Xenopus tropicalis: one gene and its partners. The protein of the gene in region 2 binds, or shares a complex with, the protein of the main gene of each other region. Links are inferred from orthologs where the notes say so. Each region holds a gene or a part of one and is shown on either strand. Other genes may lie near its edges. The genes, in order: ramp2, calcr, ramp1, ramp3 and gnb1.

Region 1 (3,517 bases), on a different chromosome or scaffold from region 2:
ATCATAATGTAGTTATTGGCTATATTATTTGGGAATGCAAGATTCAAAATTTCAGCCAAGTCCTCTAGGCATATTCTTAAATTACTGTAATGTCTAGGATAGAAAAAAAAAAAACTAGTTATACAGTGTGTGCACACAGTAGTGGAGTATCATCTAATGATGAACCCAGATATATACAGTATGCTACTACAGCACAAATTAGTTCAACAAAGCAGAGAGTCACAAGTTTCACAATCAATGAAACAGTCAACTCTTGGCATTGATCATATTGTCACTATGGTACAATTGTCTGCTAGAAAGAGAACCCAGATTACAATAACATCCTTGATTATGGCCCATTATTACCTAAATGAAAAGCCGCAAAGTAACTGCTGCTCAGTCAGACTTTAAGATAGGCAAAACATAAAAATATTTGGTTTCAGCGGTTTATGCTTTTGCCAAGACTATTTTCTATACATAAACAAGAAATTAAGGCTAGGGGAATGGATTAATGGAAGGGTGTGGGGGGGTCCAGGGATTAAAGCAGCAATATTTGTACATATCAAGGATACAGTAATCCTTATTTTGTTGAAATGTGTTGTTGTATCATATACAATAGTAGCTTTCATTGAGAGAATTATATAAATAAGGCATTTTATACACCAGTTCTTAGTGTTATTGCAGTTGTCTAAATTTGACTGTATTGTTCAAAAACAATTGCATCTAAAAACAACCCATTAAGGCCCCCCTCCTGGGATTGTACAATTCACAGTGTACACAAACAAACCAAGGCCCACATACAACAAGAGCTGCATAACTTCATATCAGGTGATCTCTGAGGGAGCACACAGACTATCACAAAATGGCCGCTCAAGGTAAAAGATGCACAAGGGCATTATTTACTAATATATTCCAGTTTGGTAAGATTCTTTATAGGCCACTAAATATGATATAAACTATGTGCTGGTTAAGTATTCATTCTGAGGGTACAGTTCTCCTTTAAGACAGGGAAGGCCATACCCTCCTGTATTCTAATTCATAAAGAGCATTGTTCCAGATTCTATATTTATTTTATTCTAGACAACATGGGTAATAGGCTGAAAAATGTATAAAGGTGTTATAGTATGCTAGGGTCTTCTTAATTGCACTTTTATTCTAGCCAAAAAAAATTGTATGTTTTAGGTCCATGTCTTGAGGTTTGAAAAAACACTGACACCGTATAATTTAATGTTGAGAGTCATTAATAATATCATGAGTCCAGGGCCGTATTTATAATAAGGCACCTCAGGTGCCTATAAGTTTTTATAAAAAAATGCGCCCAGCCTCCGCCATGGATTGCCATAGGAAATCCAGCAACGGAGCTGTGGGGTCAGGTTGCTCTGCGGAAGTGTGCACGATGTGCGTGATGTCACTTCTGAGACATAGGCGCGCAACCCGACCCCCCAACCTTCCAGCTCCATCGCTGAGCGTGATATCACACGCGCACACACGATGAGCATGATGTCACATGCATGACGTAATGCAGTAAAATAAATTAGCACTAATTTCATATATTGGTGTTCTGAGCCTGACAAGTATATATACTGTATATCAGGGGTCCCCAACCTTACCTTACCATCTTACTCGTGAGTCACAGTGAAATGTAAAAAGACTTGGAGAGCAACACAAGCATCACAAATTAATAGAAGTGCCAAATAAGGGCTAAGATTGGCGATTAGGTAGCCTCTATGCACCCTATCAGCTTACAGGAGGCTTTATTTGGTAGTAAGTATTGTTTTTACTCAACCAAAACTTGCCTCCAAGTCAGGAATTCAAAAATAATTACCTGGTTTGGGGGCAAGGGATTGGTGAGCAATATGTTGCTCACGAGCCACTGGTTGGGGATCACTGCTGTGTATATATATCTCAACAAAACACAAACCCTTTTGATATTTTTACAATGTCTACCTGTTGATATGATGCCATTCACACCAATTATCCGAGTTTACTGTGGACATATTCCTGGTGTAACCAAGCCAACATGACTCTGCAAAATAAAGATGCATTGACTCTGCAGGAAAGAAAATTATAAATAGAAACTTTATTGTTATTATTACTATTATTAGCACATATTTATAAAACATATAGAATTATAAAATACTCTGCAACTGATACAAAAGAGAGCTTACACTTAAGAGTTATAATAATAATCTATGGAATTACACACCTATATACATTCTATAGTATTTTTCAAATAATTGCATAATAATGTCCTTTTTAAGAAAAATCACCAGGTTATAGATACATTAAGCACTGTGCTACCGTTCAGTGGACACCCAATGATAAATTCATCACAAATCTTACCCTTGCCTGGCCTTTAAGCTTGCCCACCCCTTAAACTTGCCCACCCCCTTTAACTTTCCTATATTCATTTAATATGAAACTTCAAAGTGGTTTTGTGTCATAAACCGTAATTCAGAGAATGCAAATATCAGACAGCTATCCCTTGCAACAGCAATGTATACTAGAATGTTGCACAGAATTACAAACAGCTACTGAAATTCTAAACTAGAGAGTTGATAAATAAAAAGCTAAATAATTCAAAATCTCTAAAAAAAAATTGCATAGACCAATTGCATATTGACTAAAAAGTTATATATCATACTAAAAGTTAGTTTAATGCTGAACTACCCCTTTAAAAGTGATCAATGCAAATTACTTTTGTACTCAACAAACACTATATAAGTATGTAGTTAGAACTTCAATGAGATATCACATCAAAATCAAAACTTACGTATGTCCTTAAAAATGTGCTTGGTCTCATTATGAGCAGAATCTGTGAGGTTTTGCTGGACTGCCACTGAACTGGCAACTGTGGAAACAAACTGGCATTAGGAAAAAAAGTGCTTTAAGGAGCTTTAATTTTATTGACTTCTGAATACACTGGGTGGCTGAAGGTCAGGGGCAAACTGACCCTTAAATTAGTCAGCAAATTTTGTTCATTATTCAAGTCAGGAGTTTGAAGGGAGGAACCAGGAGCAGCGGTTTGTGTGGAGATGTAGTCAAGTCAGACTATTTGAGTAGCTGGCCAGCCAATCCAAGGTATATAAATGGAGTTTTCTATAAGGCTGTACCAGAGATAGATACTCCATTTATGAAACCCAGTTCTGCAAGACAAGTGCAAAGTGGTCAGGGACCAGGGGTCATGGGAAAACATGTTTTTTTCAAAATGTGTAAGTAAAAAGAGCTTTTCCAGCAGAATTCTGCATTGAAATCCATTTTTCACAAACACAGATTTTTTATATTTTATTTTGAAATTTCACATGTGGCTAGCCATATTCTTCTTTCCCAGGGTGTTACAGTCCTGTGGCCTGTGCTCTGATAAACTTCAGTCACACTTTACTGCTGAGCTGCAAGTTGGAGTGATATCGAAATGAGCAGCCGATCAGCAGAACAACGGGAAGGTAGCAAGATAGCGGCTCCCAGTTTATATCAGAATAGCACTCAATAATAAGAAATCCAAGTTCGGCTTGGGACTCTTCCAGTTACATGGGAGTAG
Region 2 (2,871 bases):
TCTCTGAAAGCAGCGTGTCTGTCTGCAAACAGGTAGATTTAAGCATATGTATCTCCAGAGTTCAATGCAGTGATTTCTGACTCATCTCCGTATTTCCCATTTAATTGTTCACTATTGGAATCATGGTGATATAGATAAATGGGGACTTCGGTGATGGACGTTGCGGTATATGATGTAGAACGCATGGAGCAATGTTCTCGCCGTCTTTGGCCCCACTGGGTTTTGTATTGCATCCATTGTCTCTTCAAGGCTCCTTGTACCTGGAAACCAACACACACTGGTTACTTTCAAGAAGAACCAATATCTATGACTTGGTGGTTTTTCACCTTGGCTACAGGATGACAACTAATGGCATTTCTCACAAAGAAGGGGAAACTACTGAATGAACATGGGTATCGGCATCTTGAGGGGATGGTACCTGAATAAAATGCCTCTGGGCCCCAACCATCCAGTTCTAGGAGACAATTTATAGTTTATATTAATTATCTTGTAACTTTGGGGCAAATTTCTTAATAATTCAAGGTGAGAATTATGTTGCTATTCACAAAAAGTCCAAGTACAATTTTTTAGTGATCAAATCAAACTCATAAAAAATAGAAATCTTGCCACCAAAAAACCTGCTGCGATGCTATAGAATCCAACAGGAAGCTGGACCAGGATTTCAACACTTTTACCATCTAGGTTTTTTCTTCACGATTTGAGATTTGTTTTGATGCAATGAAGATTTTAAGTCATTTGGGAATCTTATTAAATATGAAAACCATGGAAAAAAAACATAATTGTGAACCCCCAACCCTGTAAATGAATAAATCTGCCCCTTATTGTTCAAAAACCTTAGAAACAGCAGTAGGAGACTCGAAAGAGAAAGAAACATCTAGGAATGGATTTGTGGTACAACAGATACAGCTCCTAAAAAATGAAGGAGAATCTCTGAATTCATTATCAAACATGGTTTTCACTAAAACATTAAGCCCCCATTAACTCGATTCCCTTAATATTAGCACAATGCTCATCAATTTCCTGCAGCTTAATGAATAGAGTATGACATATTGATCAAAGTAAATTAAAGGCTTTGATAAATGTCAGTTCTTTAACTGCTTTCCTGACTGTCAAGAAAATGGCCGTGACAGCCAGGGAAATGTTACTAACTTGGGGAAAATATTCAACTGCCGGGAATTCCTTCAACAATGACAGGATAACATATTGCAGCATTCCCTATTATACTGGTATAAGTGAGCAAATTCATTTTTAAATAATTACATACATGCAAAAGTCTTAATTTTAAGCAAACACAATGTACTAATGTGCATATTTTACATTTGAAACATAAGCTCATTTTGTTGGGTTATGTGCATGAACACTAGAGAATCATTTTACACAGACAAACCTGCAAACAGAGTGGAAGGGAACCATGACAGATTCACTTTGCTTGCTGGAACCAGTTACCCTCCCCCTTGAACTCATAGTATAATCCACCCTCTCCCTCACCTTGTTTCACTGTAAAGTGATGGATTCTTGTACTTGAATTCCCTCTGCTTTCCATAGTGGGCGGTGCACAGATTCTCTATTAAGCAGAGGGACTTCAAGTCCTAGAATCCATCACTTCACAATAGAAGAAGGTTAGGGAGGAATTTCATTACAGTGATTTCAATTCAACCTGGGATTAGGAACATATGTAAAAATCTATTTCGGAAGTTCAGATAGTGTTTATGCACCTTTTTTACACAAGGCCAAATGAATAAGCTCCAAAAAGGGGGTATATTTTCCCTTTAACAGCCTGTAGCGGAGAATCAATGATCTTTTGATACTGTCTTTCATTTGCAGCAGTTGCATTTAATATAGAGCGAACTGTCAGTGTTTCCCACCCACATACAGCTATAGAGCTTGCAAGAATGCACACAACCAGGACAGCATTCAATGAGAAATAAAAGAAAACAAAATGATTAAGGGAACATTGTGAGTTTACGCTACATATAACTGGCAAAATGAATTCTGTTTCCCCACGTATCTGTGGGTAAATTACATGCAGCTTAAATCTTGGCTTGTTCTTTTGTATGAGATTAAAAACCAGACTGTGTAATACTCGTCATGTTTCCTTCTGCATTAAATATATTCAAATATTTTGTTAAATTATCTTTAATGAAAACCTATACCCCCATAATGAATTCTTAACCAGCAGATAGTTTATATTGTATTAAGTGACCTATTAAAGAATCTCGCCAAACTGGAATATATATATCAGAAAATATTGTATGTATGTATAACTTTATTTATAAAGTGCCACAAGGGTATGCAGCGCTGTACAGTCTTACAGAATACAAAATTACACACAGGGAGGGCAAGTGAAAGAATAAATAAATACAATAAATATATATAAATGCACAGAGAATAAGTGCCATGAGGTATGAGACACAGTAGGATGGAGGTCCCTGCCCCGTAGAGCTTACATCTTTTCCCTTGAGCCACCATTTAGTGATGGCCTATGTGCTCCCTCAGAGATCAGCTGACAGGAAATAATGCAGCTCTAACTGTAACAGGAAGTAGTGTGGGAGCAAAAGACAGAGCTTTACCCATTCATTGGCTGGTGTGTCCTAGCATGTATGTGCGCCCTTGGTTTGTTTGTGAGCATCGTGAATCATATGATCCCTAGGGGTGGCCCTTAGTACTTAAAATGGCAATTTTCTACCTAGTTTATTTAGATGAAGCAGGGTTTTACACATAAGCTGTTTTATGTGATGTATTTTATAGAGACCTAAATTGTTCACGGGTATAGTTTGCCTCTAAAGGAGATAGGCTGCATTTAAATTTAAAAGTTTTGCCAGTAGCACTGTTCTAGCACTGGTAACGATTTCTTGCAGCCTAAGGAAAAAT
Region 3 (3,517 bases), on a different chromosome or scaffold from region 2:
GTTGATTTTGCTGGAGCTGAAATAACATAAATGATTGATCATATGGGGGTATGTTCACATTGGGGCCTCTACATGCCACATACTTAGGTAAACCTATACATATTGGGCATCAAACTGTTCAGTGGATCCCTGGTGTTCATATTTAGGGTGTTTTATTTGGTTACTTTATGACCTGTAGGAGATAAGATACTATAGACTGGAAGCTTTGAAGCAATTTTTTAAAAAAATCACAAATTTTGATAAAAACCAATTAATTTAGGAAAGCATTGCGACTTGATAGTTTGGAGTAGACAGACAGATGTGCCTATTCTGTATTCCCCAGAATCTGTTCTTTCCAAAAATGTACAATTTTCTGGGATAAACCTTCTGTTAGTGGAAATTTTGTCCTTGAAATCTTAAGTATGCAGCTTTCTGGAGCAGTGCTTTGGAAATTTGGTAGTGTACTGCTGGGAGTTTTTGACCTATACAAGTGACAAATCTCCATAAAACTATATGTATTTGGTATTGGCACGTTCAGGAGACATGGAATTTTCCAAATCAGTTGTATATTCATGCATAAAATAATTTTTGTTTCTAGTATGTGTGTTTATATTATGGAAAATTAGATTTTTTTTGCATTTTTAGACATTTAGAAGCCTATATCTTGTTACAGAATTGGAATTACACAAAAATTCTACCATATTTTGAAAGCTTAGGTTGTTCTGAAAAAAACGATATATTGTTTTCCTGGGTAAACTAAAAGTCCCCCCGAGGAAAGGCCCCTAAAGTGAAACAGTGCAAAATGTTCAAAAACTGTCTGGCAATACAAGTTCCGCTTTGACCAAAACAGCTGGCAGTAAAAGGGTTAAAGGAATACTGTCATTGGAAAACATGTTTTTTTCAAAATGCATGCAGAATCCTGCATTGAAATCCATTTTTCAAAAACACAAACAAATTTTTATTTTTAATTTAGCAATTTCCTATGGGGCTGGCAATATTCTTCATTTCCCAGGCTGCCACAGCCATGTGACTTGTGCTCTGATAAATTTAATACAAACTTACAAACTTCTGATGTAAACAGTGTAATTTAGAAATAAAAAGTACACCATAAAAATCATGACAGAATCCCATTACGTTTTGGCTAGAGTCAGCAATTCAATAAACTGAAGACTGAAAATAAATATATATAGAGAACTTTTCATTTAAAATGTACTTTGTTATTCCAGAGTGAAATTGTGTATATGTAGCTGCTTTCTGCCCTTCTAACATACTAAAACTCTTTCTGTCATTAACATTAGAGAGGGTTTGTATTTAAAAAGATCCCCCAGCGTGCTGTATGTGAGCTGTCATTCTGCTACTGAACTTTTATTAGCTTTTAAAAGACACAAGGTCCTATATTAGTGTCTCTCCCATGAGCCATAGCTTTATTTAGTGTCTAAAATTAGAGTGTTTGCCAATGTAGAATGCTTCCTCTGCTCACCCTACAAGCCCATATAACTATCTCTCCTTCCAACACTTCAGATGTAATACATTTATACTATACAGTATATGTATTATATATATTACAAAAAGGTTGCCCTTGTTACAAATTCATGATATTAATAGTGTAAAACCTAAATTTCAAAAGTGCTCAGAAAGTCATTCTGAGCAGCTTTATATTAGGTTGGGGGGTAGAGCTCCCTTTTATTGTTGCTACCAGTTTAAAGAAAACTTCTTTCCTATTTCTTTTTAATATAGTACCTATGACAGTCATTTATTTGGCCTGTGGGGGGCTGTTTGGGCCTTTGTACTTTTGTACTTGAAATCCTACTCTGGCCCTGGATATAAAGGATGGGTAACCCTATGATCAGGTAAATGAAGTAGCACAAGGGATAGTATTACTACATAGTGTTGTGGGCTTCTATTTCATTGTGATGCCAGAATAGTGTAGATTCTGTCCCTATGTTCTTTCCACTCATTCTTGCAGGGGCACCAGGTCTTCCCACATTCCAAAACCTTCAGGCAGGGTGTGTGAGCAGGGAAATCGCATTGTAAGCTTCACTAAAGTAGGACACTGTCAGGAATAATTAAAGGCATTAAAAAAAAACTCTACTGTTATACTTCCCAGCTCTCCACAATACTAGTGTCTACTAGTGACAGAATGCAGAAACCCTTTCCACTGTTTTTCTCTTTGTGACATCCTGCAGCCTAGTTACAGGCTGGAGCCCCAGTGCACCTCTGGGAAAAGAGAAGGACCCAGGGAGAGCATTGCTTTGGAGCTGAAACCATGGGGTGGGCATTTTCACCGTTTCGCAAAGCACAAGGGGACAGATTTGCTCATCACTAGCTGCCAGTAAGAATAGAGGCTGCGGCGTGCTCGGCTTGGGACAAGCCTTGAGCTCCAGCCACATACAGAGAGTATTCTGCGTCCATGCTCAGCTGTTTGCGGATGCCTGTTGCCTGATACGTGGGAGCACATGCATTATCCAAAGGGAGAGGTACTTTGGGGGAGGTACTTTAGAGAAATTCCCCTGGGGTGTACTCCTCAGTGCCCACTTGGTTGAGGCATTGCACTGTAAATCCCAATTCACAGTGTTTTTTCAATAAGCAAAGAGGTTTCGGGGTCTACTGGATTGTCATAGATAACAGCCAAGCAAAGTGAGGGTGATCCAGCTCTACAGAAGTGTGGTAAGAAAAGGGTTACACTTTCTTTACCCGTGACAAGCCCCATTGTATTTTTAGCTCCTTCCATTGAGTGAAGATGCCCACACAATTCTAGACACACAATTTTAAAGGCATAGAGATACTTTCCAAATAAATCATAAACCCTAGTGCTGCTATTCTTTTGTAATGTATGTGCCCCCTGCCTCCCACAGGTAACCCCTTACTAACCTGTAGTGGGCTCTAGCACATCTTGAAGCTGAACAGCTTTGTGAGTAATGGGGCATTTGGGGGCAGGTTTATGTTTTGATAGGCTGGAGGGCAAATGTATACAGAGCCCCAGCCTGTGAGATTTGTTACTAACCTGTGCTAAAGACTGACATAGGTTAGTAGAAAGTGGACAGACGGGCAGGGGGGAGACGGGGGGTACATACATTAGAATAGCAGCGCTAGGGTTTGTGTAGGCATAGTGACATGTCCATGTTACTATCAATTTAAATGCAAACTGATGAAATACCATATTTTAACTCATTTTGGAATGCTAGCTTTTGGCCCAATTTAAGCCATTTGATTTTTAAGGTAAATATTATTACTTTATTATCTGTGGACTGTTTTTGAATCTTTTTGTGCAAGTCTGATATTTAGTTGAGCAGAAACGTCAAGCAGAATTTAGCCAAGCAGAAATGATTTACACATGTAGTGGTTTATTTATTGTGACTTTTTGGCAAGCAGTGTTCAAACTTTGCTACTCACCCCGCTGTCTCTCCCCAGTCACACCACAGCTTCTTTCCCAGCTCTTCCATTTCTATCTCGAAATGCTGCAAACAGAATTCGTTCATAACATGGCTGTACAGCGCCTCATTACAGCATTCGACCGCCATTAAGGGAGACGCTGCAA
Region 4 (3,991 bases), about 27 Mb from region 2:
AAAATGCCTCACTTCTACAGCAACCCCTAACACATTAAATATGTTTGCTCAGCCTCATTTATATTTGTTAAACGAATACTTATTGCATTAAGGCACAACAACCAGCTCTCACAAGGGACATGGGTGCAGGCACATTTTTCTCTTCAATGTATTGCTCTATCTTATGCAATCAGCAAATATGATTCGATCAGCATAATCGCAGCAGTCTTCTCAAGACTTTGTGCTCCTGGGAATGAGCAAGTAGACCTACAGCATAAAGTAGGAACAGATACCTGTTCATCAGCCTGGAAGGGTGAAATGTTATAACTATGTACAATGTCCTATTTAACAGTTTATGCAGAGTGTAATCTGAAAATCTATATTTAAAATGCACACCCATTCCTATCAGTGTATTAAACAAACCCACAAGACACATGACTGAAATAAAATAACGGCTACAGATAAAATTGTAAGATGATAAGTGAAAGTAGAGACTTATAAAAGCATAACTGTGCAAAAAGTACTTATTAATCATGTAATCTGTCTACTTTGTAAGAGCAAATCATTAATTTTTCTATAGCAAAATATGTTATCCACATGGAATTAGGTATTTTGACTACTCAAATACAGATGTAAACTTAAATACTGGTTGCATTTGTTGGACTGTGTTGGTTATCCTGGCAATGATAAGTAGATATCCTTGTTATGATAGAAGAGGCAGTAATCAACCTGCTTTTAACCATAGGAGGGAAGTAAAATGACTTTTATAGCTCAGTCTTTAACAATACAGGTATGGGATCTATTATACAGAAAACTTGGGAGCTGAAGTTTTCTGGATAAGCAACCCTTCCATAATTTGGATCACCATACCATAGGTCTACTAAAAATCATTTAAACATTAAATAAACCTAATAGGATTGTGTTGCCGCCAATATGGATATATATAGCTTAGTTACATTCAAGTATAAGGTGCTGTTTTATTATTTTAAAGGAAAAGGAAATCATTTTTAAAATGGAAAATAATTTGCTTAAAGTAGACTCTGTGGAAGATTGCCTTCTGGTAAGTCGGAACTTTCTGGATAAGAGATCCATACCTATATATTTTGATCCATGATAAAAACCAGTACTAAAGTTTTTTTTCTGGAGTCTCTAAACACAAGGGAAGAGATTAAATGATTACTGGTCATTTACGATAACTGAGGAGAGACCAGAGACAATTTCATAAAGTCTCCATTATTATTTTCCTTTATTTATAAAGTACTAAAATATTCTGCAGATCTTTACAGAAAAACCCTGTCCAAGTGAAACTTACAATCTAATGCCCCTATAATATTCACACACAATATGAGCATTTTTATCAAGGGACGATTTTTGTGGGTGGAAACCTATACAAACACAAGAACATAAAAACTTCCAGCCTTGGCTGGATTCAAACCTAGGGCCCTGGTGCCAATCACTGTTCCATTCTGCAACCCCACTAAAACAACAGACCACAGCTATATTGTGTTGCCATATAGCGAAGCTATTGTTTTAACCACCATTGTGCAACTTCCATGCATTTCTTTTTAACATTTGATTCCATTACTTTTCTTCAAGATGTTTGCACCTTGTTTCCCCCAGCTTGCAAATCTTGACATCCTTATTTATTTATTTATTTTAGGCATTTAGTTAGCTACTGAGCTAGACTGTAAGCTCTACGGGGCAGGGACCTCCTTCCTACTGTGTCTCATACCGCATGGCACTTATATATATATATATATATATACATATATGTATTTATTTATTATATCACTTGTCCTCCCTGTGTGTAATTTTGTATTCTGTAAGACTGTACAGCGCTGCGTACCCTTGTTGCTCTTTATAAATAAAGTTATACATACATACATACATACATACATGAATCCCTATTTGCTGTTATATGAGTATTAGTTCTGCCATAGCACCTCAAGTGTACATTGCTGTGAGTGTGGCTCCTTGATTTGTGGCAGGTATAACAGATAGATCCTGGCTAATACAATTACAGTACTTTCTTATAAGAAAACTCAAGTTCACAGACTGCACCCTGTGCTTGGCCAAGGCATAGTTTCACACTGAACAAGAAATGCCAGATGGATGCTAGCGAAAGGGGCAGAGGCAGTGACAGTGATCAAAAAATGAATGGTCAGATAGGGACAGACCGATTGGTATAGAAAATAGAAAGAAAAAACGAAAGATAGAGAGCTTGATAGATTATATATCTATAGATGGGAGGTAGGAGATAGATACATCTGTTTCCCTGGATGCCAAATGAACTGGGATCCATGTTTTTAAACAATAGCTTATTGCCATGAAGGAAATCCCATTTATCACCCAGCGGTTGTGTTCTTTGAAAGGAACAAAAGAGCCAGCAGTTGTTGTATGAGTGCCCACCAATGTCATACCCAGAGGGAGTGATGCCCCCATTCCCCCAGGCACACACAATGGGGCCACTTACCACAAACCAGAGACAGGAAAAGTTGCAGCAGAGCCAAGATGTGTTTATCCATCCCGATCCAAGGTAAGAGGCGCCGGGCGGGCAAAGGAAAGCATCTGAGGAGGAGGTTTCAGTAAAGCAGAGGAGACTTCATTGAGGAGATCGGCGGTGACAGTCACATAAACTTCTCTCTCCGTAATAACAGCAACAGCAGCAGTAGCGACACAAGACGAGAAAAGGCAGCCGCGGGCAATGGTCGTGTGTGTGACCGAGCTCCTATCAAACTCCACTCGAGATCCCCGTTACAATGAGCGGATTGTCATAATGACAGCGATACTCGCAATCCCTCAGCACGGAATGTGCGGACAATAAGAAGGCTGAGAATACTGCCGCTATGGGATTATTGGGATCCCCTGATAGCCGAATGTGTCCAGCCAGAAGGATGACAATGTGTGTAGTTTGCAGTGTGGTGCCAAAGTCTGGATCCTGTCACACTGTGCATCTGGGCAGCCTGGAGGGCGGGGCTTGCTGTGCATTGGGCGCTGCAGGGTCCTAGTACGGCGGGGAGCGCTGGCTGTGCAGCTGCAAATGCCTCTACATTGGGTTATTGCCACTGCTTGTCCGTAGGGCAGATAGAGTGCTTGGCTTGATGTTGCAGGCCCCGCAGAGCAGCACTTGGAGAAGGAAAGAAAAAGCTCCAAAGTATAGGGTAGCACCTGTAGGGAATGATTATACTAAGGTAAAATGGTGTCAAAACTGTTATCTCAGAGGTTTTCTGAGCCTCTGGCAGCTAGAGAGCAATAACAGGTTGGAATCTGGATAAGGGGGTGTTGTATATCAGAAGCTACTTTGTCTTTCCCACAGGACCACCCATCACTGGTTATTGCACACAGGGGCATGTTTATAAGGCAGTGAAGAGAATTAGCATTTCCATCCCCACTTTTTGCACTGCCATTCTCTGTTGCCATCAGGAACAGAAGCCACTGGTGAAACCAGAAGTAATAAATGCCCTGGCATAAAGGAACCTAAACCTGAAACCCACATTTTAACCTTTTTTATAGATAATATAAGAAATATATATGTCTCATCCAAAAGTCATACCTGCAACCTGCAGGGTACCAGATTTTTTGGCAGGTAACCTGCTGCTACCTGACCCGCTGCAAAACTCTAGCCTGGGCTACTAAGGAAAGCAGTGGTGGTGCACATTTTTTCTCAATAGTAATTTACATTAATGACAGTGGGAAGGAAACATGAGATGTTTTGTCACCCATGCTAGAAAAAAAAAAAAAAAGAAATGCCCTGGGTGCCAGAGCTCTTAAATAAGTATGTAAGTGAAACTTGCTCAGAAGCTAGCCTTGTCTGTTCAATTGCATGAGTTTATGAGGGTGTAACTAGACAGAAAGTGAAGCTTATAACTGCTTGGGAGCCCAAAGGGCACTGACTAATAAGCAGGTTCAGTATTATTTAAACGTCAAATTCTCATAGTTTGGGGAGAGGGGCTAAAATGATTTTGCTGTGGGGCCTAACAACTTTTGATTATGCAACAACTTATTCTTGCAT
Region 5 (3,517 bases), on a different chromosome or scaffold from region 2:
TAAATATGTAATCCCCTGTGTTGTTCACACCTTTTAATCTCTGCATTGTTCACCCCCTGCAGTGTTCACACCTCAGGCTCAGGCTGTAATCACCCCCATTGTTCCCCTGTTCACACCTCAGGAGCAGTAGAAACCCACAAATAATCCCTGCACACTACAAAAAGAACATATACTGAGGTGGTACTTCAATTAAAAAGTTTTTTTAATATATAGTTATTGTGCAGACTGTAGGAGCAGTGCCAGCATTTTGTCACTGTAGGCTGCCTGTGGGTGCCATACACACAGGCATCATAGGGCAAGCAAAGTATGGTACACACAGGCAGTGTAGGGAAGGCAGAGTATGGCACACACAGGCAGAGTATGGCACACACAGGCCAAGTATGGCACAAACCAGCCAAAAATGGCAAACACAGTGAAAGTATGTCACACGCAGGCAGGGTAGGGAAGGCAGAGTATGGCACACACAGGCAGGGTAGGGCAGGCAGAGTATGGCACACACAGGCCAAGTATGGCACAAACCAGCCAAGAATGGCACACACAGTGAAAGTATGGCACACAGGCAGGGTAGGGAAGGCAGAGTATGGCACACACAGGCAGGGTAGGGAAGGCAGAGTATGGCACACACAGACAGGGTAGGGCAGGCAGAGTATGGCACACACAGGCAGGGTAGTGAAGGCAGAGTATGGCACACACAGGCAGGGTAGGGCAGGCAGAGTATGGCAGGTTTTTGCTGTACTACAACCATTAATATGGGTATGGTCATGTGATAACATGGGTGTGGTTTCAAGTGGGTGCGGTTTCAAAAAGGGGAGTGGTCAAAACTGGCTTCCATTATCGGCCCTCCACCACGTACGTCGGAAAAATTCCGGCCCTCGGTACAACAGAAGTTGGACAGCACTGCCTTAAAGCAATACAAGGGATTTGGATGGTTTCTTAAACAAGCATAATATCAACAGCTATTGTAATACTAAAATCTTCCAACTATTGCCTTAAATTAATACGGTCACAGGAAAATAGGTTTTTTTCAAAACACATCAGAATCACACAACAGAATTTTTCATTGAGACGGCTGCCTACACACCAATATTACAACTGTAAAAAAATACATTTCTTGGCTCAAGAATAACATTTTAAATGATAGAGTGAATTATTTGCTATGTAAATAAAAAACCATATAAATCATGACAGAATCACTTTATTGCCAGCCTGTAGGCTGCAGATACATTAGAGTCAATCTGAAATGTCACCTCAGCCAGTGCGAAAGTAGCAAATGTTATTCATAATGCCAGTGTATGAGCATTAGGAGGCAGCTGTGATGAGTTAATATGGTTAAGCTTTTGCCATTTACCAATGTCTTCAGTGGAACCTACTCATCAACAAAATATTACTAGGTTACACACTTATCAATAAGTTATTATAGTTAAACTTTAGAAGCCTTACCTGTATGCCCAGCCAATTCACGGCTCACCCGCACATTTCCTTCACGAGTTTTGAGGTTGTAAATAGAGCAGATGTTATCAAGACCACCACAGGCAACATAGTTTCCAGAGGGAGCATATGCACAAGTCATTACCCAAGAAGAACGCAGCGGGATGGCATGAACCTAAATGTGAAAAATTATCAAGGAGAGCTCATAAACACATTAAAAGGGAAATACTGATTCTCTGATTACAGGAAAATGATCAGATATAGGAGGGGAAAAAAACGTTATTTCTACCCCATGTTCAACTTTTTAGGCAATTTTCAACCACATTTTTGTTACACTACAACTCCAGTATTCCCAAACGCCAAAGCCTTTCAATGCTTATTGGTAGAGGTATGGGAACAGTTATCCGGAAACCTGTTATCCACAAAACTCCATCTTACTGAAAAGCCTGTCTCCCATAGACTCCATTTTAATTAAATAATTTAGATTTTTAAAATTAATTTTCTTTCTCTGTAATAATAAAACAGTACCTTGTACTTGATCCCAACTAAGATATAATTCATCCTTATTGGATGCAAAACAATTCTATTGGGTTTCATTAATGTTTTACTGTTTTTTTTTTTTTTTTTAGCAGACCTAGGGTATGGAGATCCAAATCACTGAAAGACCTCTTATCTGGAATACCCTTGGTCCCAAGCATTCTGGATACCGGGTCCTATACATGTACCTGTATAGTCTAGGTACAGCCTGAAGCATTTATATACTATCTACAACAAGAGTTAGAATTAGTGACACAATCACTCACAGAGAGAAAATGATTGTTACCAAGAACTGTGCATGAATAATGAAAATTAGCAACATTTATGCACACTCAAATATATATCAGTACTGAAAGGGCAACTAATGGTTTGTTCTTTTAATACAAAAATCATTCAAGTTAATTCCGACTCTTTCCAGCTTGCAAGTGCTTTCTATTTGTAAGGGTCAGCAACTACATGAGCAAGAAAAAAAACTCGTTATTAATTTTCCATTTTTACTAACTGCTATGGCGAGACCCCAGAAACCAGAGATCCTAAAATTTCAAAATAGAAATGTTGAATAATTCTAAGACTTCAAAAATGCAAAAAAATAAAACAACTACACGTTACTACAATCAAGTGAACTAACTTTCTTCTCTCCTGATAGTTAAAGTAACCCACAATGCGGATTACATCTCAACAATAATTATCTGAATTATACAGACTGTATAAATATTTAAAACAAGCCCACAAAGGATAAAGGCTAATGTGAAACCTACTGCTGGTTTACTCTAAATCTCAGTTTCTTTCCTGCACCAGTGAACTGTTAATTCAAAGGCTATGATGCTTCAAAGCTGATTGAAACCAGGCTGCCTAAAATCCAGCCAGAAGGCTGCACATAGTTGCACAGGATATCATAAAGTGTCTGAACACTGCACACCAACAAAGTGACAACTATAAGTTAGCTATGATTTTAAGAGGCATTTTTCTAAAAATATATTTAACTCTCTCCAAATAAGCAACTACAGGTTAAGCTAATCTAATTATTAAATACAACTACTGGTATGGGATCAGTTATCCAGAAAGCACTGATCACAGGAAGCCTGCCTCCCACAGACTCAAAATTTAATCAAATAATTCAGATTTTTAAATTGATTCCCCTTTTCTCTGCAATAATAAAGCAGTACCTTGTATATGATCCCAATAAAGATGCAAATTCTTATCGGAAGTAAAACAATCCTATTGGGTTTAGTTAATTGTTTAAATTATGTTAGGCACCCCCAAGTGACTTAAATCGCTTACCTTTTACACCAGGCTGGTGCCCCTGTTGGGAGAGATCAGTACCAGCCAGGGTAGCTGCAGCTCTTCATCCTTCCGTCATCGCGCGCATGCGCAGTAGAGTGAAAAGCCGAACTTTAACAGAGAAGTCGGATTTTCACTCTACTGCGCATGCGCCCGTCGTAAGTCCTTCCAAAAGCAAAGGCGGAAGGAGGAAGAGCTGCGCTACAGGTACCCCGGGCTGGTGCTGTTTTCTCCTAACAGGGGCACCAGCCCGGGGTACAAGGTAAGCGAT

The links.
Region 1: the proteins of calcr (region 2) and ramp2 are in contact, whole or in part, in a cryo-EM structure (PDB 7TYX), measured with the Homo sapiens proteins. The link is inferred for Xenopus tropicalis from reciprocal best matches to the Homo sapiens genes CALCR and RAMP2. Residues at the interface, in NP_001158210.1 of Homo sapiens: Arg45, Lys46, Met48, Met49, Asp50, Gln52, Tyr53, Lys54, Tyr56, Asp57, Met59, Gln60, Trp76, Gly78, Arg126, Phe235, Leu238, Ile242, Thr246, Val250, Glu255, Lys256, Gln257, Arg258, Trp261, Tyr262, Leu264, Leu265, Phe269, Pro273; in NP_005845.2 of Homo sapiens: Trp86, Tyr93, Ser94, Arg97, Asp98, Glu101, Leu109, Pro112, Glu117, Ile120, Phe121, His124, Phe128, Cys131, Pro136, Phe138, Ser139, Asp140, Pro141, Leu146, Met149, Ile150, Pro153, Ile154, Leu156, Ile157, Leu160, Ile161, Leu163, Val164.
Region 3: the proteins of calcr (region 2) and ramp1 are in contact, whole or in part, in a cryo-EM structure (PDB 9AUC), measured with the Homo sapiens proteins. The link is inferred for Xenopus tropicalis from reciprocal best matches to the Homo sapiens genes CALCR and RAMP1. Residues at the interface, in NP_001158210.1 of Homo sapiens: Arg45, Lys46, Met49, Asp50, Gln52, Tyr53, Tyr56, Asp57, Met59, Gln60, Gln61, Thr75, Trp76, Asp77, Gly78, Asn124, Arg126, Phe235, Leu238, Ile242, Thr246, Val250, Ala251, Gln257, Arg258, Trp261, Tyr262, Leu265, Phe269, Ile276; in NP_005846.1 of Homo sapiens: Trp59, Ile63, Tyr66, Arg67, Ala70, Asp71, Phe83, Trp84, Pro85, Val89, Asp90, Phe93, Leu94, His97, Gly98, Phe101, Ser103, Arg109, Ala110, Val111, Arg112, Asp113, Pro114, Ile118, Leu119, Phe122, Ile123, Pro126, Ile127, Val129.
Region 4: the proteins of calcr (region 2) and ramp3 are in contact, whole or in part, in a cryo-EM structure (PDB 8F0K), measured with the Homo sapiens proteins. The link is inferred for Xenopus tropicalis from reciprocal best matches to the Homo sapiens genes CALCR and RAMP3. Residues at the interface, in NP_001158210.1 of Homo sapiens: Arg45, Lys46, Met49, Asp50, Gln52, Tyr53, Lys54, Tyr56, Asp57, Met59, Gln60, Arg74, Thr75, Trp76, Asp77, Gly78, Asn124, Arg126, Phe235, Leu238, Ile242, Thr246, Gln257, Arg258, Trp261, Tyr262, Leu264, Leu265, Phe269, Ile276; in NP_005847.1 of Homo sapiens: Cys57, Leu59, Ile63, Tyr66, Glu67, Thr70, Tyr83, Trp84, Pro85, Gln90, Ile93, Thr94, His97, Arg98, Phe101, Ser102, Cys104, Val106, His110, Leu111, Glu112, Asp113, Pro114, Val118, Leu119, Leu122, Ile123, Pro126, Val127, Leu129.
Region 5: the proteins of calcr (region 2) and gnb1 are in contact, whole or in part, in a cryo-EM structure (PDB 8F0K), measured with the Homo sapiens proteins. The link is inferred for Xenopus tropicalis from reciprocal best matches to the Homo sapiens genes CALCR and GNB1. Residues at the interface, in NP_001158210.1 of Homo sapiens: Arg174, Ser175, Arg404, Gln408; in NP_001269468.1 of Homo sapiens: Thr47, Arg52, Phe292, Ala309, Gly310, His311, Asp312, Trp339.

Annotation. Positions count from the first base shown.
Region 1 is NC_030686.2:22,072,062-22,075,578, forward strand, and holds part of ramp2 (receptor activity-modifying protein 2), read right to left. Parts: intron 2,831-3,517; coding exon 2,753-2,830; intron 2,030-2,752; coding exon 1,927-2,029; intron 94-1,926; coding exon 1-93. UniProt on the Homo sapiens protein: Accessory protein that interacts with and modulates the function of G-protein coupled receptors including calcitonin gene-related peptide type 1 receptor (CALCRL) and calcitonin receptor (CALCR). Required for the transport of CALCRL to the plasma membrane.
Region 2 is NC_030682.2:32,306,640-32,309,510, forward strand, and holds part of calcr (calcitonin receptor), read right to left. Parts: intron 261-2,871; coding exon 39-260; 3' UTR 1-38. UniProt on the Homo sapiens protein: G protein-coupled receptor activated by ligand peptides amylin (IAPP), calcitonin (CT/CALCA) and calcitonin gene-related peptide type 1 (CGRP1/CALCA).
Region 3 is NC_030685.2:59,159,642-59,163,158, forward strand, and holds part of ramp1 (receptor activity-modifying protein 1 precursor), read right to left. Parts: intron 3,512-3,517; coding exon 3,373-3,511; intron 1-3,372. UniProt on the Homo sapiens protein: Accessory protein that interacts with and modulates the function of G-protein coupled receptors including calcitonin gene-related peptide type 1 receptor (CALCRL) and calcitonin receptor (CALCR). Required for the transport of CALCRL to the plasma membrane.
Region 4 is NC_030682.2:59,345,790-59,349,780, forward strand, and holds the start of ramp3 (receptor activity-modifying protein 3 precursor), read right to left. Parts: upstream 2,813-3,991; 5' UTR 2,505-2,812; coding exon 2,453-2,504; intron 1-2,452. UniProt on the Homo sapiens protein: Accessory protein that interacts with and modulates the function of G-protein coupled receptors including calcitonin gene-related peptide type 1 receptor (CALCRL), calcitonin receptor (CALCR) and G-protein coupled estrogen receptor 1 (GPER1).
Region 5 is NC_030683.2:91,940,280-91,943,796, reverse strand, and holds part of gnb1 (guanine nucleotide-binding protein G(I)/G(S)/G(T) subunit beta-1), read right to left. Parts: intron 1,604-3,517; coding exon 1,441-1,603; intron 1-1,440. UniProt on the Homo sapiens protein: Guanine nucleotide-binding proteins (G proteins) are involved as a modulator or transducer in various transmembrane signaling systems.